Linked DNA regions of Tamandua tetradactyla. The protein of the gene in region 3 interacts with the protein of the main gene of each other region in a pairwise test. Links are inferred from orthologs where the notes say so. Each region holds a gene or a part of one and is shown on either strand. Other genes may lie near its edges. The genes, in order: KHDRBS3, TRIM54, LNX1 and SRSF1.

Region 1 (7,137 bases), on a different chromosome or scaffold from region 3:
CCACAGGAGTTCTTTAATTCCAAAGTGATACTTGGCCTAAGCACGAAAATCTTATACAGTGAATGCACCATAGTTTGAATCTTTAAAGACCATGGAAAACATGTCCAGAAAGAAACTCAGGAGAAAAAAATCAAGGGAAGTCTTCCTGCAGGTCGTCCTCCCTATGCTGAGCCCTCAGGTACGATGGGGTGCACTACATTGATTTCTGCAGGGCTCTGAAGGCGCGTATGAGGAGTACTTCATTTCCTCTCTGGTGGAGGGCCAAGGTGGAAAGAACAAGTAGAGAGCTGCACAACCCAGAGACCTGGGTTCAAATCAGATCTCGGCCGCCCACCGTGCGCCCAAAGAAGCGGCGCCCCCCCCCCCCTTCCAGCCTTGCAGGCTGCCTCGGCGAGAAGGGGGAAGTGCCCCGGCAACTTTAAAATACTAAGCAAACATAAGGCGCTGAGAGCATCTGGAGATGTAAACCGTAAAATACATCTACTTTATGTCACTTGGCAATAAAATAAAGGTTTGCAATGCTGACCCATTATCACTGCACAATTTAGAGCCGGAATATCAATTCCAGGGTCGAGATTCAGAACAACCCCTGAAAAGCATGGTTTTCAGAGACAAAGCCAAACATTTAGCTAAAGAAGAATAGATCTTTTCACATCGCCAATACTGAGATGAACTTCAGATGTTAAAATAAAGCTTCCTAACTATCGATTCTAATTCAGACTCAAGACACTGTGCTTTATTTAAAAGTTCACTAGTGAGCATGAAGTTACATAACAGAGTATAATTAATATTTTAAATTGCAGGGCTTTGCACTCTGGATGTCTGCCCATGATGTGAAGGGAAAACATTAGTCTGAAGTAATCTGAATTAACAGTCCTCCTAAGAACACAGGAGGAGCACCTCTTCCTTCCTTCACATCCCATTCAACGTGAGAACTGTCGTTCTCACAAGAATTACATTTCTGATGGAAAAGTAAAGGTAATCCAGCTTAGCAACAACAAAAACATTTCTCCAATACCTGTTTCAAGTAACTGCAAGCCACTGACACTGGAAGTAACAGAAACCAAAAGAATTTCCCATGTATTACCAACACAACGCTACACCAACATGATACACAAAAATAATTGACTTTTGAAATAACTTATTGTTTTCAGTTGGGTTATTTCCTTAACTGAGTACACCACAACTTTGATTGTTTCCTTATTAAGAAAAATGTACTCAATTGCCCAGTTCAGAGTATTTCTCATGCCACTGATCTCACACAATGTACAAAGAAATTTCTTTCATAGAGATAACAGCCCAGCAGGCAAAAAAGAGATATACGTAAATCATAAAGAACAATGAATACAAACCTAACTGGAGAACTGTTCAGAACAAACAGTACAGGAATAAAACCTAATTTTTTTTCTCTCATTTAAGAATACATGCCCATTAGTTTTTCACAAATCCATTTTATTAGAGAAACAAAAATAAGCCTGCAATTAGAATAAAATGGGGACGCTCTGTAAACCCATTCCTGTTCAGCAATTCAGACAGCATGCTCAAATTCTTGGAGACAGTAAGATCCTCTCTCCACCAGTCGACAGCACACACCCTCCTCTGAAGAACCGGTTGCATCAGGCAAATATTAGAAGTTGCTGTTTTCAAATGTAAAAATCTCTGTATCAAATAAGAGTTAACCACGTCCTCCTTCACTTCCAACGAGAGAAGAGCCAGGACTAGCACTGAGAACGGCAGATCCGATTTCTCTCGGGGACCACGCGCTGGCCACCCAGGGCGATTTCGGTCACCAGCTAGCCTCTGACCAGACACCGTTTCTGTCCTCCCCGAAAGACAACCAGCCGCCCCCCAATCCATCTTCGGCTGAAACGCGGGTTCCAAGCGCAGGCGGGGCGGGGCTGCTCCCGAGGGACTCATTTACCGGGCATCCCAGCAGGTTCCTCACAAAGCCCAGGGGCCCGGCCAGGCGACATTGAGGGCAGGCGGCCCCGACCCCGACTGCCCGGAGGTTCTCACGCTCAGCTGGACGGACAGGTGCTACGACGACACAGGCAGAGAGGACTCCTCTGCCAATATTCTGAACCCCAGACACTAATGAGAGTCACCCACCCAGCGCTTCCCGAAGAGGAGAAGCAAGTCAGTCGAGAAGGGGGCTCTTGTGCCCGCTTCTTCTACTGACTCCTCCAAGGGCCAGGCTGCAGGCTGGTGAGATGCCTACCCCCAGGGAGGGCAGACTGTAGTGCCTCCTGCACATGGGAGGAACAGAGGGCTCCTCCACTGGGACCACTAGATCCTTTTCTTCAAAGATGCTTTGGGTCTGACCCCAAACCTCCTCCAAGGTCCCCAAACTTCACCAACAATCCAAGCACCTGCTACTTCACCTCGTCTGTACTTGTTTCCCTCAAATCCTTCCATGTTCCTCCAGCTCTTTCTCCAGTCCCTTAAAACAAACCAAATGCCCTAGTTCCCCTTGTCCCCCGCACTCTCTTCTCCGATGAGATCATTCAACCTCCTCCCCGACAAAGCCCCAGATTCTTCCCCATCTGTTTCCCGTCCAGAAGTTTCCCTGGGGTATCCCCAAGTCCCCAAAGATTCCCTTCAAGTCTCACCCGACACCCCGCCCCCCAGTCTTCTCCTTTCTTCCTAAGCCCCCTAAATTCACATCCCCGTCTTCCAGCAGAAGTCCCATATTCTCGCGGGTCCCCACCCAAATGCCCCCAGATTCCTATCTGTCCCCTCCCCACAGCCTCCGCGATGTCTCTCCCCAGCGCCCAGCGCGTTCCAGCCAGTGGCACCCCGCAGCCCCCCACGCTTCCACCCGGCCCGCCGCTCCCGCCGGGGCCCCAACGGCCCGGTCGACAGTTAACCGCCGGGGCGCCCTCACCCTGGTTCACCAGCCGCAGAGCGTGTGTGAAGGAGGGGTCCAGGGAGTCCTTCTCCGCCATCAGCTCCGGCAGGTACTTCTCCTCCATGCTCGCCGGCCGCCGGGGCCCGGGACGCCGACTCGAGGCGGCCCGCGGCGGCCCCGCGCCCCCGGCGGCGCGGACCCGGGCGCGGCGCGACAAGCCGGGCGGACGACCCGGCGGCGGCGGCGGCACAGGTGCGGACGCCGACCGCGCGGCCCCGGTCCCCGGTGGCCGCTGACTGCCCCGCGCCCGCGCCCGCGGCCGCTGCCTCCCGGACGCTGCCCCGTGCTCCCGCCGCCGCCGCCGAGCCGAGCCGGCGCCTGGGGCCGGGCCGGGCGGCGCGGGCCGCGACCCTGCAGCAGTCCCCGCGCGCCCCGCCAGCCGCGCCGCGCACCGGCAGCCAGCGACCCGCACGCCCAGCGCCGCCCGCGCTCTCTGAGCGCTCGGGCCCCGCGCCCCGCTCGCGCCGCCTGCACGCCCCGCCCCGCGCTGCGCCCCGCCCGCCGCGCCTGCGCGCCGCGCCCTCCCGCCGCCGCCAGCACCGCCTCGCGGGGCCCGGGACTGCGCGGGGGGCCGGGCCCGCGCCGGGCGGGGTCTGGGGGCGCGCGGGCCTCGGGGAGAGGCCGCAGAGGTGCCGTGGTAGGGCGCAGGCCGGGAAACTGAGGCCCGGAGAGGCTCAGTGGCTCATCCAAGGTCACCCGGAGAGTGAGCCCGGAAAGCGGGGTGTGCACACAGCCCCCCGGGACAAGGGCCGAGCCTGGAGGGAGGAGAGGGGCCCCAGCTTGGCGCTGGCCCCAGGCGGCGGAGGAGGGTCACGGGGGGAGCCGCCCGCCCTTGGACGCGCCCTGGATTTCCTTCCTCGTCTGACTTCGCCTGGCCCGCCTCTGCATTTGCAAGAAAACGTCGCGGGGGGCGCAGCCCGCGCCCGGCGCTCGGGCTCCCAGCGCCCGCCTCCTGGACTCGTGGCTCCGAGGCCGATTACATAAAAGCGCGTGCCCTTCAGGGCGTCTTTGTCACACCCGACTTGCCACCCCATTGTCATTCTCTTCGCCGGTGGAACCGGCTGTGCCTGGGTGCGGATGAACGAGCTGCCCAGTCCCCTCGCGGGGAGACGCCCCCGGATACACAGGCTCCCCCACGCTGCGCTCAGATTTCCCAGCGTATGTGCAGCACACATCCCAGCGGCCTGAGGACTCCTGCCTCCCCCCCCCCCCAAACTCCAAGCTCAAGAGCCAGCCTCAATGTCACCTTCCCTGGACACCCTTCCCGGACTTCCCTGCAAAGCTGGCCACTCCCCAGCGAGACCAGTAATGATCTGTTTCCAAGGACGACCTCCCTCCCCCCCACCACGCCACCCCCACCCCCACCGCCATAGCAGGAACACTTGAGCATCTCCCAGTCTGGGTAGGGTTTGGGCTAGGGGGAGGGTCCGCAGCCGGTGACAGGGCGAGGGCCTGGGGAGCACCAGTTTGTTAAAGGAATAAGCTAGAGCCCTGCCGCCCCTTGTGGGCGTCCTCACAGCCCCCCCACCACACCCCCTGGATTCTTAAATGCAAATGGAGGCAGCTGTACAACCAGGGAGAAGAAACCAAAGGAGACTGCAGACTGCTGCTAAAGCCCCCACTCTCCGTGCCCAAGTCCCCTTATGCTCAAGCACGCCTTCTGACCTGACTACCAGGTACAGTAGAACCTTCTCACAAGGATTTTGCAAGAGGATTAGATGGCCCAGTGTGTGGCCTCTGGGCCAGGCGACCTGGATTTGGAATCATGGCTCTGCTGCCCAGGAGCTGTGCACCTTGACATGTGAACTCAATGGCTCCATGCCTCCTTTTCTTCTGCCTCCTGCACGGTGCTTCCCTTCAGCTGTGGCCCCAGGGGCCTTTAGCCAGCACCACCCCTCAGGGTCCCCACCCAGGACCCAGTGCATGACCCCAGTGACCCCCGGCCCAGAGCGGGGTTGGCAGGGCAGGGTCGTCCCCTGTGCCAGCTCCTCTGGTGATTCATCGTGACACCCCACTGATTCACCCCACAGAGCCGCAGACCTACATCTCCAAAACCCCGTTGTGTCTGCTGTCCCAGAGGCAGTTTAAAGGCTTCATGGGGAGACGTTTCCTCCTTTAACCCTGAATGGAAGCGCCTGGCTTGTGGTCCTGCATACAGGACTGCAGTCTGGACCCACGGCAGCTGCTTGAAAGGGAGGAAGGGAGGAAGAGCCTCGGGGACACGCAGAGGGGAGAATGGGGACCAGTGGCACAGCTGCTCCCATCCGGCCCTGGGCCCTGCACCACCCCCCCATGGCTCTCTTTCCTCTACATCTTCCATGTGGGCCTTCTGCGCCAGCCACTCGGCCAACCTTCAGTAAGGACAGGTTTTTAGAAAGCATTACTAAGTGCCGGGCACCGTGCTGGGTGCTTTGCAGTCACTGTTTCCAGTCCTCTCGATACCTGCAGGGAAGATACTTTTTATCACCATGTACACGTCAGGGCAGTCAACACTCTGCCTAAGGCCCCTGAGCACACCCCTGGGTCCTCCAGGGAGGAAGGAGACACACGGCTCCGTGAGATGCTCAGGAAACTGTCCCCAGTGGGGTCGGGGGCAGAGCGCCTCTGCAGGGCCCTGACATGGATCCTTTTGGAGAAACTCAATCCGGGCCTCGTTTCTGGCCAGCGGCTGCAGGCAGCACCCACTCAGGGCTCCTGACACCCAGGCAGTCTTGGAGGGGGGCGTGGTGGGGTGTGTGATGGTACTCATTGGAGTGCTGGCTGCACGGCACCTCCTACGGGCACTGCCTCCCTGGGCATCGGGGATACAACGTGGACAGTTCTCCTGAGTCCCTTGAGGCCTCCAGGGACCACTTACTCTGCGTTGAAATAAGAAACTGCCCCCTCCCCTCGGATTCGCTCCATGCCCCCAAGACAGGGGGGCCTCCCCTACCCACCTCACCCGGGACCCCAGGGCCCTCCCAGGATCGTGCTGCCCCCACAGCAAGTCCTTCCTGTCCCAGCCACCCGCCGGGACACCACCCCCAGCCCCCCAGCCCAGGAGAGAAGGACAAACACTCCCTGGACCTGATCACACTCAGGGCAGGAGGTCAGGCGCTGCCCAACTGCCTGAGGACACAGAATGAAGGTGGCAGTGTGTGTGAGGGAGACAGCTGTCACGTTTGCCCGGGATCGCTGCCCTGGCTGGGAGCCTCCTGTGCCTTCTATTGGAGAAAGGGGAGCCCCAGCCTGGTCTCCCCCAATGCTTGCAGTACTGCGGGCGCAGGGCCAACGTCCAACTGTACTGGTGTGCTCTGCGCCCAGACAGACCCCGGTTTGGGCCCCGGCTCCCCTCCTTAGGGGCGGTGTGATGGAGAGTCAGCTGCTCTCGGGGTCCCAAAAAACAGGGAGGGGAGAAGTCGGGTCTCTCAGGACTGCGGGGGGAGCGGGCTGCAGCCTGAGAGTGCTCCTCACTGGCCTCGGCGGCTCTGCCCATGCCCTGCCCACAGGTCACTCAGCACACAGGCGACCACGGCCCCTAGCCCCTGCCCGCCCCAGCCCCGGGCCCCTGGTTCTCAAGCCATGCCCCCTAATCGCAGCCCCAGTGCAGGCTGCTCGGGCCCTGGGGCACAGAACTTTGCCACGTGAGACAAGCCCCCAAAGGTGGCCCGACCTTGCCTAGAAAGCCCGTAGTGTGGATGTCTGGATAGGGAGGAGGGAGGCCCCACGAGTGTTCCCGACCCCGGCGCCTCCCGGGTTCAGCAGGAAATGCTGCCCTCCACGCTGAAAACTTGGCCAGCCACTGCGGGGGCACCGGGGAGCTCTTCCAAGTCGGGGTCGCCACCGAGCCTCAAGTCAGGCACGCCTCTGCCGCAGGCTGCGGTCCTAACGCGCCCCCCGCGGTTCATTCACGCAACCTGCAAGAGACCCCACGGGCAGCTGCGGGGGCCCGGCCAACCCGCGGGGGGCCCTGGCTTTTAGAGACGAGGGGACAGTGGCGCAGAGAGTGACCCATGGGTGGTGAGGGAGACTTGGATACAGCACGTACACGCCCGCACACTCGCACGTGTACGCGTGCACACACTCACACGCACGCTATCCCGTACGCGGGATGAGGCCTTCCGCCTCCTTAGCCCCCTGCCCTGCGCGTCCGCGGCCGAGTCTTCCTGGCCGAGCACCGCCCCCCCGACTCCCACCCCGGCCCACCTCCCCGACTCCGCTTGCCGGGAAGCCGCCGGGGTCCGGCGTCC
Region 2 (6,975 bases), on a different chromosome or scaffold from region 3:
GAGTACCTTTTTCAAAAACAACCTAATTCTCTAGAACAAAAATAGTTCATGCTTTTTTTGGAGGGAGGGGTGGGGTGGGGGTATGTGAATGGCACAGGACTCAAACCTGGGTCTCCTGCATGACAGGTGAGCATTCTACCACCGAGCCATCCATGCACCCCTCATGATTCTTTTTAAGGCCATTATATGAAGTCTATAGGATGGGTTGATAATACCAAATCAAGTATATGAAAATTAAAGTTTTATAATAATGACAAAGAAATTTGTATTACTGTACAACAAATGTGTTGTGGCTTTTAAATGTTCAGATTCTTTTAAGGAAACATACATAAGACTCCTCTAGTTGTTAGTAGATGGTTTTCCTATATGAATTCTATTATAGTTTTGGTTAGACTGTTCTGGTCTCCAAAATGCCTTCTCCACACCTTCGCGCAGGTACACCCCTGCCCCAAGGCAACCCTCCATCTTTCACTTTGGTGGGTCTCAGCATCTCTTCCACCCTTCCCCATAGTGGGGTCCTAGGCGGCGAATGTCAGGGACCTCACATTTGTATAGTTTAGTGCTTTATAGTTTACAAGGGGGTATCCCAGCATTCTCCCATCTACTCTTCTCAATGAGAAACCTGGGCTGTAGATAAAGCAGAGACCAATAGCCTCTTTTAAAGATGGAGAAACGGTGACTAGTATCTTCATCTCTTGACTGCTAGCCTCACGCCTTTTTCCACTGCCTGGGTTTGGACAACCAGCTCCTCTTTGGTCACTGCAGTGTCCTCCTCCTAACGGAGCTCCCTGGCTCTCACCTACCTTCAGTGTATCCTCCTCACATAACTTTTCTAAAATGGATACTCGATTACATCATTCCTTCTGCTTAAAGCTCCTAAATGGCTTCTCATGCCCCTACGAGCAGAGTCCAGACTCTGGAGAGAGGTACACCAGGCCCTCAGGCGCTCTCCTTCCCCATTCCACTGCCTACACGCTCCCGCCAGCACCCAGCACCGCTCAGTCCTCCGGACATGGCCAATCCAGATTCACTTGTAGGCTTTTGCTGACCCCCTTCCTTTGACCTGACACACTCTTTCCTCCTTCCCTGTCCCTTTACCGGGCTCACCCTTAGTCATCCTTCAGAATTAGCAGAGACATTACTAATCCCCAAACTTCCCTCCCCCCTTAACTGCTCAGTTAGGTGCCTACAACAGGTCTTTGGGTGGCTGCCTGGTTCTCCACCATTCCCTTCAGAGGCTGTGCCCAAACCCATGCCCTTCTTTTGGAGCTGTGCTCTTCTCCCTTCCCTGGTGGGAGCTGCTGTCTTTGACTCGAGCCTCAATTTTTTTTTTTAATATATTTTTATTGAGAAATCTTTACACACATACAGTCCATACATGGTGTACAATCAGGTGGCTCACAATATCATCACACAGTTGTGTATTCATCATGATGATAATTTTTTAGAACATTTGCATCACTCCAGAAAAAGAAAAAGGAAAATAACTCATACATACCACACCCTTACCCCTCCCCATCACTGACCAATAGTATTTCCATCTATCCAATTTCTTTTACCCTTTCTCCTCCCTATTATTTATTTATACTTTTTTTAAAATCTGTCCATACCCTGGATAAAAGAGGCATCAGACACAAGGTTCTCACAACCACACAGTCACACTGTAAAAGCTACATCTTTATATGATCATCTTCAAGAATCAAGGCTACTGGAACACAACTCAACACTTTCCAGTACTTCCCTCCAGCCACTCCAATACACCATAAACTAAAAAAGGATATCTATATAATGCATAAGAAAAACCTCCAGGATAACCTCTCAATCCTGTTTGAAATCTCTCAGCCACTGAAACTTTATTATGTCTCATTTCTCTCTTCCCCCTTTTGGTCAAGAAGGCTTTCTCAATCCCTTGATTCTGGGTCCCGGCTCATCCTGGAAGTTCTGTCCCTCATTGCCAGGGAGATTTACACCCCAGGGAGTCATGTCCCACATAGAGAGGGGAAGGCAGTGAGTTCACCTGCCAAGTTGGCTTAGAGAGAGAGGACACATCTGAGGAACAAAAGAGGTTCTTGGGTGGTGACTATTAGGCCTTAGTTTATTTTTTTTTCACATTCATCATCATGATCATTTCTTAGAACATTTGCATCAATTCAGAAAAAGAAATAAAAAGACAACAGAAAAAAATTCATGCATACCATACCCCTTACCCCTCCCTTTCATTGATCACTAGCATTTCAATCTACTAAATTTATTTTAACATTTGTTCCCCCTATTATTTATTTTTATCCCATATGTTTTACTCATCTGTTGATAAGGTAGATAAAAGACGGATCAGACACAGGTTTTCACAATCACACAGTCACACTGTGAAAGCTATATCATTATTCAATCATCTTCCAGAAACACGGCTACTGGAACACAGCTCTACACTTTCAGGCAGTTCCCTCCAGCCTCACCATTACATCTTGACTAACAAGGTGATATCTATTTAATGTGTAAGAGTAACTTCCAAAATAACCTCTCGACTCTGTTTGGAATCTCTCAGCCATTGACACTTTATTTTGTCTCATTTCGCTCTTCCCCCTTTTGGTTGAGAAGCTTTTCTCAATCCCTTGAGGCTGAGTCCAACTCATTCTAGGATTTCTGTCCCACGTTGCCAGGAAGGTCCACACCCCTGGGAGTCATGTCCCACATAGACAGGGGGAGGGCAGTGAGTTTGCTTGTTGCGTTGGCTGGAGAGGAAGGCCACATGTGAGCAACAAAAGAGGTTCTCTTGGGGGTGACTCTTAGGCCTAATTTTAATTAACCTTGACCTATCCTTTGTGGGGTTAAGTTTCATATGAACAAACCCCAAGATTGGGGGCTTAGCTTATGGCTTTGGTTGTCTGCACTGCTTGTGAGAATATGAAAAAAAAATTCAACTTGGGGAAGTTGAATTTTCCCACTTTCTCACCATTCCCTGAAGGGGACTTTGCAAATACTTTTTTATTCACTGTTCAGATCACTGTGGGATTTATCAGGGCATCACTCTGGACAAACCAACAACATCTCATGCCCTACTCAAGATTCCATGTACTTATGGTGTTCAATTAAGCTGTCTACATAAGTTATATTAGGGAATTTGGCCTCATTTTAAGTAAGTTTAGCCTATCCTTTGCAGGAATAAGTTTCATAGGGGTGAACCCCAAGATCAAGGCCTAACCTATTGATTTGGTTGTCCCCACTGCTTGCGCATATATCAGAAATTCTCCAAGTGGGGAAGTTGAATATTTCCTCCTTTCTTCCCCCCAACTACGCAAGGGGACTTTGCAAATACTTCTTTATTCACTGCCGAACCACTCTGGGATTTATCGGGGCATCACATTAACCTGAGCAAGTCAACAAAACCTCACACCCTATCCATGATTCCATGTACTTAGTGTTCAACTAAACTGAACATAGGAAGTTAAATTAAGAAATGCACTACCCAAAATATAGATTTTTCACGCAATAAACATCATTCCCTTTGGTCTCACACAGAAGTTGAAGTTTTAAATAATGGATGATATCATCCTTTACCCTGTATTCTGATCTACCACAGTCCTATCCAGATTTCTTCATTCATATCTCTACTCAAAGACTGATCACTTTTTCAACTTTTTAAACAGTTCTTGCATGGGGTACTGCTGACTTTCATAGCTTCAGGGTTTTAACTCTGAGTCTCAGGTGTCATATAGATACCCGAAGTTTCTGGGAACGAGCATGCTATATACAAACAGCCAAGCCCCACTTTTGAAAGGGGAACACATGACCCAGCAGGGCCAATCATATTACTTTGCTCCATAGGTCTCAGCAGTTGGTCCAAAGTCTGAGCATCTGCCCCAAGCTGGGCCAATCAGAGTCTCCTCAGAAATTTTCAAAATTTTCAGATTGGCTGAGAGAAACCCATTCTTCTTAGAGTGGGAGAAGATGAGGCTGGGGGGATATCAGCCAGGAGTTGGTCATACCCACTGATACCCTTTCCACCACCACTTGTTGCATGGAAGGAAGTTGTGCTGTGGTTTGTTTCCAGCCCACTTTTGCAGCCAAAAGCAACCTGTGTGACAGAATAGCCTTTTTTTCTGATTCAGGGCACATTGGATTTCAAGAATCAGAAAACTGCTCACGTATGCTTAAAGAAAGAGGAGTGATCATAAGAATTTGGAGAATTTCATTTAACCTAATTGCAGGAAACACATCTAAATATGGAAAGTCACAGGTGATTACTTTCTCCATTACAATCTAAGTGTACAGGATCTTCTGGGTGTTAGGATTAGGTTCTGCTGTGACAGAAAATCCCAAACTGGCTGAAAGAAGGTAAGAATTAGTGTTTTCTCTCAAGTGTAAGTATGGGCAGGCAGACCAGGACTGCTGCTGTGACACCATGCTCATCAGAGGTCTGCTCCTTTTATCTTGCTGCCCTTCTCGGCATGTGGTACCATCTCATGGTTCAAGACAGCTGCTTCATCTCCAGCCATCCCACATTCATTCCAGCCAGCAGGAAGGAGAAAAGGGCAGGAGTAGGGTGTGTGCATTTCCATTAAAGATACTTGCACAAAGCACTTCTGCCTATACCAAATGGCCGGGAGATAGCAACATGGCAACATCTAACGAGAAAAGAGGCTTAGATGCATGGTCTTTATTCCAGGCAGTCATGTGTCTTGCTAAAATTCAAGGACTCTATTATTGAAGAAGAAAGTGGGGTGAGGGGGTGGAGATCAAGGAATGACAAGCAGTCTCTGCCTATTTTTCCTCCTGGCTTCTCTCTACATATTGGCTCTTTTCTCTTCTCTGCAGACCTGCCTTCTCTCTAAGGCTCATAGCTTCTGCCCCCCACACCGTCTACTTCCATTTGGGTGGTCATAATGTCAGCTCTTAGCCCAACTCCATAGGCCTTTTCCAGAGCTGCACTTGCTCAAGCCACTTCAGCCTCTATGTCTCAAATCCAGATTCCTAGGAGAGAATATCTGGCCTTGCTTGGCTCAGTTGATCACCCTCTCAACTCTGAGACCATCACCTGTGGCCAGGAATAGGTAGTCCTAGGCAGGGCTCTCCCTTTTAGGATGGGAGGGAGCAAGTGCTCTAAGAAGAGGGTGTACATGGGAAGAAGCGATGAGCATCTGTGGTACATCCTCCTTCGGAGCTTACCCTTGTCATGACACCCATCCTGCAAGAGGCAGTTTTCTGTTTGCTTGTCCTTAGGACAGGGATATGCATTTTGTTCATATCTTTATCTCCTGGGACCTAGCAATTACCTGGCATACTCAGTCAATATTTACAATAGAATGAATACTCCATTCTAGTCCTTTAGAGAGGTTGAATGCTTGCCCAAGTTCACATCGTGAAACAGTGTCAGGGACAGCACCAGAGCCCAGGACTCCTGGACTCCCAGCCCCTGGAAGCATTTCCCAGAATCACCCAGCTGGTTCAGCCGGACCTCTGCTTGTGCTCCCACTCAGTTCTGCAGAGAACCCACTCAGGGTCCATTTCTTATCTTAGCTCTCCTATCCAGGCCAGTTTCTCCCTATAGCTCCATGCCAGGCCCCTTTGGAGAAATCCCATCCCAACAAGGCTGTCTTAATTTCACAGCTGCTACAACAAATGCCACACAGTGGGCTGGCTTAAACAACAGGAATTTATTGGCTCACAGTTTCAGAGGCCAGAAGCCTTGCTTCCTCTCAGGTTTGGTAGCATTCTGGCTGGCTGGCAATCCTCGGGGTCCTTGGCTGTCCTGTCACATGGCATGTCCTCTCCTTTCTCTTCTGGGTTCTGTTGCCTTCCACATCTACTCCTTCACATGGCTTCCTCTTCATAAAGCCTCCAGGAAGAGGGCGAAGGCCGAACCTCATCCGTTGACCACCCCTTAACCAAAATAGCATCTTCAAAAGGCCTTGGCAATGGCTTCCCACCCATAGGAACGGGCTAAGATGAAGGACATGTTTGTTCTGGGGTATGCACCTTCTACGCCTTGGCCACAGCTAAGCTCTGGACACACAGACACTCAAGGAGCTAGAGCTGAGTAGTGAGGCAGAGTGGGAAACACGATGTCTATGGCCACCCACACTTTGTTGCTCCCAGAGGAAGCCCCAGCTGTGTAAACAGGCTGATGCCTGCCCCTCCACCCTTCCCCTCCTGCTGCAGGCCCTTGGCCTCTCCTCCAGCCTCCCCCCAATTCCCTGATGCCTCGTGCTGCCTCCCCCGCAGGCCTCCAACCCCCTGTGGCAGTCCCGGGGCTCCTCCACTGTGTCCTCGGGAGGCCGTTTCCGCTGCCCTTCCTGCAGGCACGAGGTCGTGCTGGACCGACATGGGGTCTATGGCCTGCAGAGGAATCTGCTGGTGGAGAACATCATTGACATTTACAAGCAGGAGTCCTCCCGGTGAGCTGTCAGGGGTTCCCGCCTCTCCAAGGCCTGGGGCCTGGGACACAGCCAGGGAACCCATCCAGGCCAGAAAGGGAAAACAGAAACCAGCCACCTACCCACCTCTTCAACCTCTTCAGTTTGGAGATGAGAGAATGGGTTACAGACGGGGGTGGGGAAAGCGCAGAGGTGGGGGAGCGGGGGAGTGGGGGAGTGGGGAGGGATTTACCCTGGGTGCTTTGATATGGTTACGTTGGCTCAGAATATCTACCCACAGTAGCTGATGAATTATCCACCCCGGGGACATGTGCAGATCATGGCAGGAGGGCTCCCCTGAGATTTGAGATAGTTTCCCTTGTTTCCATGACAAGTGGGTCATTCCGGTTGAAGTCTGGTTGAAAGCACCTGTGAGGTCCTTGTCAGCTCTCCACGTGGGACTTCCCTGGCCCTGGGATACAGATCATGTGAGGCTCTTCCTGGATCCTGGCCTCTTCTATTCCTCTCGCTCTTTCTATTTCCCAAACTAAGAGCCCAGTGGGAGGCACCCACCAGCCCACACAGCCCCAGTTGCAGGAGCAGAGGGTGTGGTGGTGGTGGT
Region 3 (6,975 bases):
TGGAGAAATTGTTCCATACCAGAGCAGACTAAAGGGACATGACAACTAAATGCAACACTTGGCTCAGAAATGTGCTCTTTGGCCATACAGGATAGTTGGGACAATTAGAAACAACTTGAATTGGCCTGATGACTAGATGACAGTTGATGAAAATGTACTGGGTTCTGTGAGTGGATAGTAATAATGTATCAGTGTTAATTTCCTGATTTTGATGGGTATAATGTGGTTATGGAGGAGAATGTCCTTGTTAATAGAAAATGCACACAAAGTGTTGGGGGATAATGTGGCATCTCATTGATAGCTAACTCTCAAATGGTTCAGGAAAAAGATAGTGCAAAAGTTCTATTACCATACTTTTCACTGTACTGTACTTGCAACTTTTGTATAAGCTTGTGATATTTTCCAAAAAAAAAAAAATCTATATAGCAACATCTGGTCTATAGATCTACAGCTATAGTTATATTTACATCTACATTGATGTGTCTATATCTATATCCATTGTAATGAATATGCTAAGTCAGGAAGTATAATGCTTCCCATACTTGGCAGGTCACAGGTACTCAGAGGCTGCTTTGGGTGGAGAAAGCTTGGGGCAGTTGCCCTAAAGGCAGAATCCAGGTTTATCTGCTGCCTGCGGCTGCTCTGCCAAGGCAAGAGAGGTAGGTAATCTTCATCTCTCTCATTTAGTAAAGAGTGGACAGATTCCTGAACAATGGAAAGAAAGAGGATGCTGTACCTGCAGAGATGATCACACAGTCCATCTAACTTATCTGACAATGGGCTCATCTGCTAGAACCAAGACATGGAAACACTTGAGGTCTCCTTTGTCCTCTTAGAATAGTCTGTGAGATAAATAACTGAGGGGCAGTTCTTCGGTGTTCACCTGTAATCTGGATTGTGAGGGGAGACCATGTTCATTTGAGACTTGGTCTAAAGTATCATTAAGAAAAACCACTGCCAGTTAGGCACCTTGTAAGGCTTGGAACCTGGGATACATCTTCTATGTGTTCTGTTTCTAATCATCACAATGGTTCTTCAAGTTAAGTATCATCCCCATTTTATAGATGAGGAAATAGAGGCTCAGGGACGTTTAATAACTTGGTCATGTTATGCATCTAGGAGGAGATCATGCTGGGATTAGAAAACCAATCTGCAGAGCTCTTTTTACAGTTCTATGCCACCTCTCTACACACAGGCCCTCTGCTGTGTAGCCTTCTTCCACTTCACCCAGAATCCAACTCCCACACACTGAGCAGATCCTGACTCCGAGATTCCAGAGCATTTGTCACAGAGCACACAGTTAATTGTGTATAGCTAACTCACAAAAGTTTGATGAAATCGAGGACAGGAACCCCCTATCTGTATTCCCAGGCAGATGGTAATCATTTCCTGAAGAGCATTTACTGAGCACTTATTATGTGCCAGCAAACCTTCATAGCATTATCTCATTTAAACCTTAATACAATTCTATAAGGTAGGCATTCCCATTATTCTCATTTTACATGTCAGTAAACTGGGGCCAGAGGGATGAATTAAGTTACCCCAGAATGCAGTACTAGTAGGAGATGGAACCAGGATTCAAGGCCAGACAATGTAATCCCCCAGGCCAGGCTTCACCCCTCTGCCCTACTGCCACCGTCTTGCTGTAAATGTTTTCTGGTTGAGATATATTTCAGGAACTCTGCTGATCTGAAATGCTCTCCCCACAGAGCAAGCTTTCACCGTATGCAAAGCCCATGTGTGAAGCTCACCTCCCCAGGAGACTATTCTCACACACAACCTCTGCCTCTGGCTCCCTGGGCATAGAGCTGGCACCACATCCTGACATGTGACCCAGAGTTGGTTCCAGGGGACATAGTCTATCAGCATTTGTTGAACTGTCTTCAATTCCCAAGAATGGAAGTAAACAGGAATCAATAACAAGGGGGTATATTGCACTGAATGCTGTCACTATCTATTTCAGGATTTTCCAGGAGCGTCCCAATTTCTAAAATCCATTTTCTCATCAGACTATTTGTCAGAATATGTTCCAGAGAATGTCGCCTGGTGTTTGTTTAGAAAACACAGTCAATATTCTACTGAAAAGAGGCAGGAATGGGGGCAGGAGTTGCTGCCAGTGACCACCTACCTATGTGCCCTTGGGAAAGTCACAATTTCCCTGGAGCTAAATTTCTCCACGGGTGAAAATGCAAAGACAATACCTGCTCCTACCACAGAAATGAAACAAAACATTTGTGTGAATAGGGATAAAGTATAATGCTACCTAAAATCCAATTACCATGAAAAGAATTGCTGATGTTTACCCTGGCTTGCATGGCAAGTGTTTTTCATTGCTGAGAATAAAGGAAGAAAGAGGTTTATATGAGGAGCAGTGAGGAAAGAAAAAAAAATGGATGTAAGAAAAGCAAATGTCCTGGGGCCTTTCTAGGTCTTGAAAAAGACATAGCTAGATACTTCTGCCTCTGTAAGAACTTGATTGTATGTGTGTGTTTGTCTCAGGTAAAGGCAGATGTCAGAGACTAGGGTGTCAGGGGCAGTTTTCCCAAACTGTGGGGGGTCCTGGCAGGTGGAGAAACTAGGCAGGCATCTTACCTTTGCTTCGTTGTGGATCAGTCCCCAGTTGTGTGAAGGCTCAGGTGACAGTCCGTTTGGAAACTCAGCTTTTCTGCACAGAAACATTTTCTTTCTTTTTCCTGGGTCTTGTCTCCCAGACGCACATGCAGACCATCCACCTGTCTACACTCAGGAGTAAATCAGCGCACCGCCTGCCCTTTCTGTGAGGCTTTGAGCAGAGCAGACCCATAAACCCCGAGAGCAGCCAGTGGGGAGCCGTGTGGGAGAGCCGTACCCATCCCCCACCCCTCACCTCTGAACAGCCACTCATTATCGTTAGTGACATATCTGCCCTGTTTTGAATGGGGCTGAGGCTCCTTGGAACTTCCTTCTGCTCACGCCAAAAATCGGGATCCTTTTGTTCACCTTTAGGGCTGCCAAGTCAGGCCTACCGCACCCTTGGTTGTTGTTTTCCTGCAGGCATTGGGAAAATGAGCTTGGAGCCAGGAAAGGGAAATCAACAAGGAAACAAACACAGCGTCACTGCACCTTCAGGTCATCATTAGGCCTGGGACATCCTCCTGCTTGGGACTAGTTGCTAAAGAGACAGGGGCTTAGTAGCTCCTGGACTGGTCTCAGAATCCTGAGCATCTTTTTGTTTTCAAATGTACAAAGAAACACGCTAAATTACCTACATTAGACAAATCAAGCAATCATGATTTTTTTTCCAGTATTATGCCAAAACTTCCAAAGATTTTCCATAAGCAGTACCATTCATAGGTGAACAGCAGTTAGTGTTTGCAGAAAAAGAATGAACAAGAATATGGCTGACATTATGTATGATTTTTAAACTCTAATGATATAGGATTCTGCTCATTCTTCGTTATCACCATCACCATCACCTTCAGAAACAGCAGCAGCATCAGTAGTATCTGTGCTGATATTTGTTGAGCATTTTACTGTGCCAGGCCCTGTGCTAACTTCCTGACCTGCATTACTTCATCTAATTCTCACTATAATCCTATAATTTTCATTTTGTAGATGAAGAAATTGAGGCTCAGAGAGGTTTAGACACTCCCACACAATGACCCAGCTAGTTCAAAATTTAAGAATTGCATTGCTGAAACTGTTTTTCTCAGTCTTGCTTTTTCCACCAGGTAGGCTTAAATATTTCTGGGGGCTGATAGTTTCAGTGATGGCTAAAGACCTGGCTTAAATGAAAGATTGGCTCTGGGAATAGAATTCTAATTCATCAGTTAAAGTGGTCTCTCTCCAGATATGTTAATTGGTGCTATCTCATGTTCAACAATCAAGTAGGTCACATATAACCCAGGCACCTACTGCCTTCTCTGATCAAACCTGGTGCTGCTGGCTTCTGACTGTCTTTGATTCTCCACTGTCTTTTTTTTTATTTACAAGCAAGGATGTGCTCTATAAATCTTTTGGCCTCCGTGTGAGTTTTGGTCATGGCTCGATCACTAGTTTGTTCTTTTGACTTCAGGAGCCTGACAGTTACAAGCTTCTTTTAATCAACAATTCATGCAAGGGATGAAACTAAGTTCCCAGCCCAGAAACTTCTGCTGGTGAGAAATCAGCACATGTGGCTTTCAGTCCTCAGGTCACACTAGACTTTCTCGGGTTTTATTGCCTTCATCTTGACTTCCAATTGTTAGCAATTAACTCTCTTGTGCCATGGTGGTTACCCCAAGACAGCTGGCAGGTAGTCAAAGGAAAGTAAAACCATTAATTAGCAGGCATGGAGATGGCTCCCAGAGAGGACCAAGTTGTCAGTTTTCACAAATATACAAGTTGCAACATCATGACAGTTGCTCACCCCTGTTGCCCTTGGATTTGGTTTGGGGGAGCTTGGAGTATTTTGCCTTAGGGTCAAATGAGACTTCAAACTTGAGGTTGGTCAGCTTTTCATTCTTCTTAAAGGAGACTAAAGACAACTTCACCAGAGCTGCAGCGATAAAGAGGAAGATTGGAAAGAGTCTGGGCATTTAGCTTAGATATCATTTCATTTTTCTTTCCCAGTAGTTTACAATTAAATGCAGCATCTAGAAATGTTTACAGACTCTGGTTTTGGAGTTCTTTGATGAAGAGAGGCAATTTATAACAGTCAAATGGGCCTTTCAACCTTATCATCTGAAATGAAAAACCAAAATGTTGGAAAGGAGCTGATGTAATGGAAGCTTTCATGTTCCTCATCTGCTTCACAGCAGATTTGGGGACTGCCGGAAGCTTTGGGATTTTCCATTCAGAAAGGTAAGGTAGATGGATTTTATTTCTCCTTCCTCTCCTCTGAGCATATGGATCAGTACTGATTGATTCAGTTCCAAGAGTAGGGTCCATTCTGGGATTGATGATAAACACACACACCTCAAAAAAATTTTTTTTGCATGGTCATGTAACCAAGGCAGCTGATTGTTTAAAACTGGAAACAGAAAGAAGTCACGGATGAAAACAGGACGTATTAATTTAGCTTTACAAACGTGCCCTTTCCAAAGCCAGAATTACTCACTGCCTGGCAGCCCACAGCATGGAGACCTGAGCCTGCTTAAACTCTATGGCTTAAGAGTGTCATTTCCATTTGGTGTGGGAGATTCTAGGAGAGTGACAGATTCCAACTCAGCAGAAATGTCCAGATGTAATTAAACCCTAATAACTATGGGAAAGTAAGCATGCCTTCACTATAGAAGGACAAATGGCCTATTTTTAGAGTGTTCCAGAAAAGTAATATGCCCAGTTACGTGCAGAGAAAATTGTCTCATTCTTGGTGCATTTTGAAGGAAGGATATTAAACCCAAGAAATGTAAAATGATGGAGCAGCCATTTCAGTCTTCTAACTGGGACAAAGAAATCATCTGACCCAGCTTTCTTTCGCTCAGGCCCTTTTTCACCTTTACAAGATACTCAGGATGAAAATGGATTTATCGTATTAGGAGATAGAAAATTGTTTCTCTGAACTGTTACAGACTGATTGCCTTCCTCTCCCTGATCATGAGTATGCAACTTATAGTTTGCCCACCTATCCTTACAAATGGATTGGACAATGAGGGAAAGCTTGAAGTACCACGATAAAATCATATAGAGAAAGCCCCGGGAACCTCTTAGAGCCAAAACAAAACAAAACAAAACAAAACAAAAAGCACAACTTCCTCTTTGAATTCCCTCTTGAGTTTCTTCCTGAAAGCTTTTGAAATTTGAAATCTCCACCAAGGTAGCCAACTCAGATCAAGCCCCTAATTCAGTATATTTGACCCAATACCAAATAAAGCCCATCTGTGTTAAACCCACGTAACATTGGATGGAGGACAAACCTCCATCCAATCAATAGGAGTCAAGGTGACTTCCTTTTTATGTTTATAAAAATTGCTTGCCTTCCCTAGGAGCTCAAAGCTGCTTCATTTTTGCAAGTGATCTGGCTTACTTGCTACAGCAAAACTTTTGGTGTCTTGAAGAAAATGCTGTAATCTGCAGACTCAACTCTGTTTTGTCTTTCTACAACCATCTCTATGCCAGCAACTCTCTCATTCATATCTCTCTGGTCCAGACCTCTCTTCTACTTTTCAACTACTTTCTCGGTGTCTCACAGCCATCTCAAACTTCACACATCCAAATCCGACTCTTAATCTTTTCCCCTTCTTCCTCCTGTTTCCCAGTAAATGACCTTTTCATCCATCCAAGTGTTCCACGAGTATGCTCTACGAATTATACCTTCGAAATTTATATTAACTTCAACCAGTGCCCTCTGTTTCTGCTAACTTCAGTCTACCCATCCACCCTTTCTCATCCAGATTACTGCAGTTAGTCTCCTAAAAGGCCTCCTTGCCTCACTTCTTGACCTCAGTCCCTCTACCAAATCTAGACTTCACACCACATCCAGACTAGACTTTTAAGAAGGAAAGTCAGAATATGCCATTAGCCTGTCAAAAAGCTTCAAGGCTTTCCATTGCATTCACAATGAAATACAAAACCCCTAACATGGATCACTAGATTTGGCACAATTTGGTCCCTGCTCACCTCTCCAACATTGCTTCTGCTACATTCTCCTTCACTGAGTACCCTCCAGCCATACGAGCTTGCTGCCTGTTTCTTGAATGCTCAGGAATGGCTTTGCCATCCCTGAGCTGGTCCCCACTGACCTCCGCCCACACACATGCATGCACAATACCACTCTGTTCTCTTTCCCTGTCTGCCTGCCTAACACGTTCTCCTTTTTCAAGTCTCAGCTCAAATGTCCATTTCCTAGAGATACCTTCCTCTTTTTCCTGATAGCACTTTATACAATTTTAAAGTCTATTATTTATTTGCCTAGCTGCTTAATATAAAACAGAGTTTACTCATCAACACATACCCCATCTCCTAAACCCAGCTAGGTTTCCTTTCACGAGGGCAGGAGCTGTGTCTATTTTGTCA
Region 4 (7,953 bases), on a different chromosome or scaffold from region 3:
GTTGCAAAAAGTTATGTAGTTGAAAAGTTTACTGGTATTGGTACCCACCTAAGTCTAAACTAAAGCTAACGTTCCCATCTGCAATTTAATTTGTAAATTAAGTGTTTTAGGCATGAGTCAATCATGAATATTAAAGGGGAAGGTGAGACTTAACGTATTCCCAACTAAATTATCTACACCAATATGTTGAAATTCTGTATTTTGTTTTCATTTTGTCTTAAAAAAATGAAATAGCAACGCTATATCAGTCACACAGAGGACATGCAGATTTAGCAGTATTGATATTATACTCTATCTGGTTGGAATTAAAAGACACCCTGTACCCACATGTACACCAACAGCAGGTCACACATTAACAGTTGTAACTAAGCACTGTGACAAAATTAGCCAGTTCTTCCCACATTAGTCCCTATTAAAACAAAAAAAGAGGGAAGGGAGCAAAATAAATTGTTACAAAATGGGCAATGTAATTTTGCCACAATTGCCAAGGTTTAAAAAGCAAAGCAATTGTAGCTACACATAACTGCATAAGATGTTTGCATGTCTTTTAAGGTCGATTTACTTTTTAACCCTTGCCTTTTAGTATAAGGTCAATACTGCCAATTTCATCTGTGACAATAGCACTTGGAGTCATACCATTGCCTCCATTATTGATCTGATCCTCCTCAATCCTCCTTTTGACAATCCTAAAATGATTGAAATGTGCTCCACAATCCTTAATCCAAAGCATTCTTAATCCATCTCTTCAGATATGTCTACAGAAAGACACATGAAAAGGCAAGATAAACATAAGAACTTCCCCAGGTAAGATAACCACAAACACCCCCAACATCCCAGTTCACACAAACCAGAGCAGAATAGACATTTACACATTATCACAGTCTGAAGAGCATGGAGAGTTAACTAAATTTAAAGAATCCTGTCTATGACATCACTTAAAATACAATTTTTATCAAAGACATGAGGGGAATGTAGATGTTAGGAGCAAGGGGATATTACACAACAATGCAATTCAACACTTTTAGCCCATTCTGAACAAAACAGTTTGAATTTTAAAAAATGAATAGATTGTACTGAGTAAAGGAAAACTGTATACAACATGGGTTCTACAAAAAGTGTCACCAATCATTTTATGTACGAGAGCGAGATCTGCTATGACGGGGAGAATAGCGTGGTGATCCTCTGCTTCTCCTTGGGGAATAACTGCGACTCCTGCTGTTGCTTCTGCTACGGCTTCTGCTACGACTACGGCTTCGAGATCGAGATCTTCCATAACTTGGACTTCTGGGCCCATCAACTTTAACCCGGATGTAGGCAGTTTCTCCCTAGTGGATAGACAGAACTTTCGATTGAAAGATCTAAGCTTTCACCTGACTTCAGGCATGCTGAATGAATCAATGAAACTAAAACCAGAAATGATCTGGCACTTTACTTGGACACCCTTGCCTGAATCCTTACCTTCAAATTCCACTGTTAAGACCACTGTATCCAATTCTGGCCAAAGAAAAGAATAAGTGTATAACCTACCTCATGAGATCTAAACTTAGTGTTATCCAGTTTTCGAACTGCATAGGTCATATCTTCTTTCCGTACAAACTCCACGACACCAGTGCCATCTCGGTAAACATCAGCATAACATACATCACCTGCTTCACGCATGTGATCCTTCAAATCCTGCCAGCTTCCACTTGGAGGCAGTCCTGAAAAGTGATTTTTTTTTCAATACCAAGTATCTCAAATATCACCTTAAATGTGTAATGTACATTAGAACAAAGATTATGTCAAAATAATGATTGTACCTAAATGATTCCAAGCAAGATTCTGGAATCCAGAGTCCAAAACTATTTGCGAAATAAGGATCTTCATATTCTAGTACTGCAATCTTACTTGGTTACATTTTCATTACAGCGATCCTTGTTCGTTAAAATTCACCCAATAAGAACAAAACTTAAGACCTAGCATGAAAACTTCCAATTATCAAGTCAAGCATACAAGAACAATTTTACAGTAGTTTGTTCCCTCTCATCAACCCATAACAGCAATAACTCACCAGAGACAACCACTCTGTTTTCAGACCGCCTGGATGGGGGGCCATAGCGCCCTCGGGGAGCTCCGCCACCTCCACCCCCACCGCCACCTCGGCCTGTACCACGGCCGCTTCGAGGAAACTCCACCCGCAGACGATATCCATCGTAATCATAGCCGTCACGACCATACACCGCGTCTTCCGCGTCTCTGCGTGACCACAGAAAGCAAAGAGATAAGAAAAGGGTCCGGCAAAGGAAGTCTTAACTCGGTCAAGAGCTAGTACACCATCAAAACCCGCACATGCGCACCGAGTGTGGAAGAGCCCACACGCGCTGCATAATAGAAATGGCCCCTCCCCCACCCAGAAGCATGCCAGCCTCCAGACGATACGACAGCCCAGAGCTCCTCAGTTTCCCGCTCGGAACATGCAAGTCGGCTCAAGGGATGTCCATGGGGCCAGGCCACCACAGAAGCCAAACCAACTTGCCTCCTTACTCAACTCCAGCGTGGGCGATATTGCCTCGCCCCCAACCTCTCCAAGAGTACTGCCCCACCCCCCCATTCTCCATGTTAAGGCCTCACAGCCTCCCCAACTACTCCAACCTATTTCTTCAAAGCCGCAAGCCCCATGCCGCCTCACCGCGGGTCCTCGAACTCAACAAAAGCGAAGGGCGGTCCCCCGCGGCGATTCTTGAGATCGATGTCGCGAATAGCGCCGTATTTGTAGAACACGTCCTCAATGTCCTTGGTTCGGATGTCTGGAGGTAAGTTACCCACGTAGATGCGGCAATCGTTGTTCCCTGCCGGACCACGAATCACACCACCTCCTGACATGGCGGCTACGGAAAGCGCGAACTGGAGAACAGGCCTTCCCACCAAGCCTAGCGCACAACAGAGCGAACCCGCAGCGACACCACGTCTCCCGCGGCCCCTCCAAAATGGCGCCTTTATCTGCTGGGCGCACGGATATCGACGGAGGGAGGAAGAGAAACGAGAGGAAGTAGTGATTCGCTCTCAATACGCACGCGCAAAACGTAACGAGCGCGTTGAGAAGTACGCACACGCACGCTCGACGTGACCCTCCGCACGAAGGGGAAAAAAGTTCCCCGCGTTCTCGCTGTGCAGTGCGGTTTGCCAAGGGGGTGACCAGCCTTTTATAAAAATTAAATCCGGGACTTCGATAAAGGGGCTATTCGTGCCTGTCGGGCCTTGAAAGACAGTCAGTTTCCCCAGGAATGGGCCTCTTTTAAGGCAAATCGGCGCCTTAAAAGGATTTGGTGAAACAGCCTAGAGCCTTTTGTCCCACCATGCTTTGCGGTGTTAACGGTCTTTGGCGGGAAAGAATTTCGGGGGCGGGGTCGAGGGGGTGGGACCAGTTGGTTGCTCCCGAAACTAGGGCATCTTCCGAGAGTGGACCCTGTGCGGGAGCTGTGTTACTGGTGATTTAGTAGAGAGTCAAGGCGTGGCCTTGCGTTCCCGCCCTTTCACCTGTGAAAAGACCTAGGGCCAGTTTAGATTCCTTAGTAAATATTCTGCAAAAAAGTACTGTTCCACCTTCGGTTCAGGGCTTAACTTTTGCACGGCTCAATTCAACACGCTTTGTGTTAGGGCGATCCTAAACAATCATAAGTGGAACCTGATAACCGGTGGGGTAAACAACATCGTACCGCCTCCAAGACCAAGACCTCCTCTGCTCCACTCATTGTGTCTTTGCTGGGCTTCGGGTAGAGGAAAGGCTCAGTGAAAGCTTGGAGAATGAATTGTGCCTGTCGTTTTTCCACATTTCAGAGGACGAAAAAGAAAAAGTATTTTTAGGGAGTTTGCAAAATCCCGAAGGTAATCCCTTTTTGAAGCGTTCCCCCTAATATTTATGTACAACAGTTTTGAATTATTGGCTTCTCAGGTAATATAAATTAGCAAAATGAATGTGTGAGAACTATGACTAACCGTAAGGCACAGTTGCTTCTCAGAATTGTCATCCTGCTTGAGTGTTGGCTCTTTACGTTTTCCCAGATTTTTATGTGAAATGTTAGGATTTTTAAATGTTAGTAATAAATTCAAATTTTATGAAAACCCTGCAGTCAGATTTGCTAAAACATCTGCACCCTGAGTTTAATGATGATTTTCTTCATTATGTTTACTTATTTGTACTTCTCCCCAACGATGTGATGAGGCTTACAGAGATAGAATTAGACAGTATTATAACTGAATGAATAAATAAGGAGAATGGGAAAATAAGGAAGAAATTAAGATGACGTCTCAGATAACGTTAGTAGATAAAATGCCTGCAGTAAGAGCCTGCTGAGTTCTAAGAGATGGATTTCAAATTTGACTCTGGTCTTCCCAGAAGCCACATTAAAGAAGGAAACACCTGTATTTTCAAAATTCAAAGTGCTCTTGAGATTAAAAAGTAAATTGGTTGTTCAGGAGAAGGGCATGTTTTCTTAGTTCTAAAAGCTGGCAATGTGTTTTACACATATCTCTCAGTGATCCCAAAATACAAATTCAGTTTGAAACGTCTTGAGTAGGAATGCTTACTTTTGGTCTGTAGATCCTCAACAGATCTATAGGACCTTTGGTAGTCCTTGAATTCTCTGTAATGGTTTCCAAAATTATGTGTATGTGTGTGTGTACTTTTTTTGGAGAGAAATTTTGAAATTTTAATCATATTCTTAAAAATTCCAAAAGGAAAAAGAACACTTGAAATTTTTAAAGAAAGGATAGATTACCTTTTCAGGCCGTCCTTCAATGATATATTTTGAAACTGAGCTTTTAATAAAAAAAAGAACCTGATTTTTTTTTTTTAGTGAGAAGAATCAGACCAAAAAGGACACTATTTCAACAAATTTATTCAATTTCTGGCACAGTACCATGGATAAGAATTGTTGTTTTAATTTTGGTCATATATTTTTCATTCCTTCAACAGTTAATTACTGATCACATTTTGTCTTCGTTTCCAGTTTTTACCCATCAATTTAAGAAATACTCAGTCATCTGTTGATTAACGTTGTGTTATGTCAGTGATAACTGAAGTGTTCTAAACATAGGTGCTTTTAATTTTAAGACACTCTCATTCAGAAAAATAAGAAAACTATTTGTTTTGATTTATTCGTGTCTGTCTAATTCAATGCAAATATTTCTGATTCTGTTCAGTTCAGAGAAATACAAAACAGAACTTAAGAAGAGTGAATAGGACCTTCTTGTTTATCTACTGGCCTTTTTACACTTGATCTTAGCCAGGAAGCTGAGACACAAACTCTGCTACCCCTTTTTATATTTGAAAATATTCAAATTGTAGGTTCTGGAATCAAAGGGATTAGGGTATGACAAGGAAAATCTGGATGGCTATTTATCAAGGTCTCCCAGAATGACATTAATTTGGTGATTATTACAATCTAAGAATGGGATCTTAATGTCAGCAGTGTCCCAGAATAGATTAACAAATTTCATTCCACTAATAGACAAGAGGGCAAATAAACGAAACTATTTATTCATTTACTGGAGGTAGGGACAGATTCAGTTTTGGTGATGAGGTGGCTCAAATGTACATGCCAAGACAACTGTTTTGGAATGTCTGGAAAGCAAAGCAGACTGTTTCTTACTAAATGAGGACTCAGAACAAAGTGAGGTGAATCATTTTGAGGGATGTTTCATTCAGATCATGGTGAGACCTGATAAATGATCCCTGCCCAAAAACAAAGTACACAAAGTACACCTCTTTAAAGAAAGGAATATTCATATTCGCCGGATTTGATGTTTTCTGTTTCCTGGAAAGTACTAGGTAAAGATTGACAATTCTTTCTGTAGGCTGATCTTGACATTAACGTTCTCTAAACAGTGCACTAGACAATTGATTAGGTTTTTGCGGGTCAAATTACAGCCACTTCCAGTTTTGACTTCTGAGATTACATCCTCACCTTTATTGGGTTTCGAGGTGTTTCTAAACTCAGTACACTTTCACAGGAAGTCTTATGGATTGAGCCCACAACCAACTGATATGGATTTTACTAGCTCTTTTCTCAGAAGCAATCTTATTTTCAACACTTGCTCTTTATGAAAAGTTGCTTCCTGAAAAAGAAACTTACAAAATGTTTTCAGTTCAATCCAGTAACTCTATACTAGTGTTGGCACCATACGTTCTCCTGGAAATGATTACTTCAGAGACTGCAAAATTTTGAAAATTAATTACTGCAGGGGTTGAAATCACAAATGCACTTTTTCAGTGATTTGCTCAATATTTAAAACTCCCTGTGATGATGGTTACACAAGTCTGTAAACATACTAAAAATCATTGAATTAAACACTTAAGACAGGTGAATTGTAAGGTATGAAAATTAAACCTCAATGAAACTTTCTTTTAAAAGATGGGGGTAAATGAAAACCCTCTGTGCTATTTTGAAACTGTTGTGTACACCAGAAAAGCCATGTTTTTAAATCCTTTTCAAATATTTCTGGATGGGACGTTTTGATTAGGTGGTTTCCATGGAGATGTGTCTCCACCCATTCAAGGTAGGGTTGCTTACTGGAGCCCTCTAAGAAGGAACCATTATGGAGAAGGTTTTGGAGTCCACACAGCAAAAGACCCTTGGAAACGCAAAAGGAAAAGACCCCTAAGGAATCCTTATGAAACAAGAAACCAGAAGAGAAAGCTAGCAGACTTCCTCACGTCTTCCCAGCTGATAGAGGCATTCCAGAGGGCATCAGCTTTGACTGAGTGAAAGTGAACTCTTGTTGGTACCTTAATTTGGACATTTTCATGGCCCTAGAACTGTAAACTTGCAACTTAATAAATTCCCTTTTTAAAAGCCATTCTGTTTGACTTCCGGAGAAGATGGCGGCTTAGTAAGACGCGCGGGTCTTAGTTCCTCCTCCAGAAAAGCAACTAAAGAAACAGAAACAATACGAAACAGCTCCTGGAGTCACGACAGAGACCAAAAAGACAGTGTACCCCATTCTGGAACGGCTGAACGGGCAGGGAGAATCCGCGGCAGTGAGATACCCGAGGGGCGCGCGTTTTCCCGGCTGGGGCGGCTGGCGACTGGGGTCCCCTCCACGCACGTGGCTCCCCGGTCTGACTGGGAACGTTGGATAGCGGGGCCCTCCCGTCACGCTTGGCATCTCGGGCCAGCTGGGCAATTTGGACCGGCACTCTCCCAAGCCGCGGCGGCCAGCGACCCCCCCTCCACGCGCGGTTTCCCAGGCCGACTGCTGTGCAGACAGACGAGCGCCACGAGCGCCACCTACTGGACAGGAAAAGAAAAACAGAGCCCAGAGATTTCGCAGAAAAACCTTTCAACCAGCCGGGTCCCACACCCAGGGAAATCTGATCAAATGCCCAAACACCAGCAGAAAATAATGGAAGACGCTCGGAAAATTGAAGATATGGCCCAGTCAAAGGAACAAACCAATAGTTCAAATGAGATACAGGAGCTGAGACAACTAATGCTGAATATACGAACAGAAATGGAAAAACTCTTCAAAAACCAAATCAATAAATTGAGGGAGGACATGAAGAAGACATGGGCTGAACAAAAAGAAGAAATAGAAAATCTGAAAAAACAAATCACAGAACTTATGGGAGTGAAGGACAAAGAAGAAAAAATGGAAAAAACAATGGATACCTACAATGGTAGATCTAAAGAGACAGAAGCTACAATTAGTGAACTGGAGGATGGAACAACTGAATTCCAAAAAGAAACAGAAACTATAGGGAAAAGAATGGAAAAACTTGAGCAGGGGATCAGGGAACTGAATGACAATATGAAGCGCACAAATATACATGTTGTGGGTGTCCCAGAAGGAGAAGAGAAGGGAAAAGGAGGAGAAAAACTAATGGAAGAAATTATCACTGAAAATTTCCCAACTCTTATGAAAGACCTAAATTTACAGATCCAAGAAGTGCAGCGCACCCCAAAGAGAATAGAC

The links.
Region 1: the proteins of LNX1 (region 3) and KHDRBS3 interact in a two-hybrid assay, tested with the Homo sapiens proteins (2 studies listed by BioGRID and IntAct). The link is inferred for Tamandua tetradactyla from reciprocal best matches to the Homo sapiens genes LNX1 and KHDRBS3.
Region 2: the proteins of LNX1 (region 3) and TRIM54 interact in binary tests that used the Homo sapiens proteins (3 or more experiments, as listed by UniProt). The link is inferred for Tamandua tetradactyla from reciprocal best matches to the Homo sapiens genes LNX1 and TRIM54.
Region 4: the proteins of LNX1 (region 3) and SRSF1 interact in a two-hybrid assay, tested with the Homo sapiens proteins (3 studies listed by BioGRID and IntAct). The link is inferred for Tamandua tetradactyla from reciprocal best matches to the Homo sapiens genes LNX1 and SRSF1.

The regions. Positions count from the first base shown.
Region 1 is NC_135332.1:179,346,757-179,353,893, reverse strand, and holds the start of KHDRBS3 (KH domain-containing, RNA-binding, signal transduction-associated protein 3), read right to left. Parts: upstream 3,023-7,137; 5' UTR 2,973-3,022; coding exon 2,885-2,972; intron 1-2,884. UniProt on the Homo sapiens protein: RNA-binding protein that plays a role in the regulation of alternative splicing and influences mRNA splice site selection and exon inclusion. Binds preferentially to the 5'-[AU]UAAA-3' motif in vitro.
Region 2 is NC_135329.1:11,235,683-11,242,657, forward strand, and holds the start of TRIM54 (tripartite motif-containing protein 54), read left to right. Parts: upstream 1-3,973; 5' UTR 3,974-4,018; coding exon 4,019-4,237; intron 4,238-6,222; coding exon 6,223-6,395; intron 6,396-6,975. UniProt on the Homo sapiens protein: May bind and stabilize microtubules during myotubes formation.
Region 3 is NC_135345.1:53,898,048-53,905,022, forward strand, and holds the start of LNX1 (E3 ubiquitin-protein ligase LNX), read right to left. Parts: upstream 3,010-6,975; 5' UTR 2,593-3,009; intron 1-2,592.
Region 4 is NC_135332.1:38,936,225-38,944,177, forward strand, and holds the start of SRSF1 (serine/arginine-rich splicing factor 1), read right to left. Parts: upstream 3,009-7,953; 5' UTR 2,863-3,008; coding exon 2,669-2,862; intron 2,236-2,668; coding exon 2,051-2,235; intron 1,701-2,050; coding exon 1,528-1,700; intron 1,326-1,527; coding exon 1,131-1,325; 3' UTR 1-1,130. UniProt on the Homo sapiens protein: Plays a role in preventing exon skipping, ensuring the accuracy of splicing and regulating alternative splicing.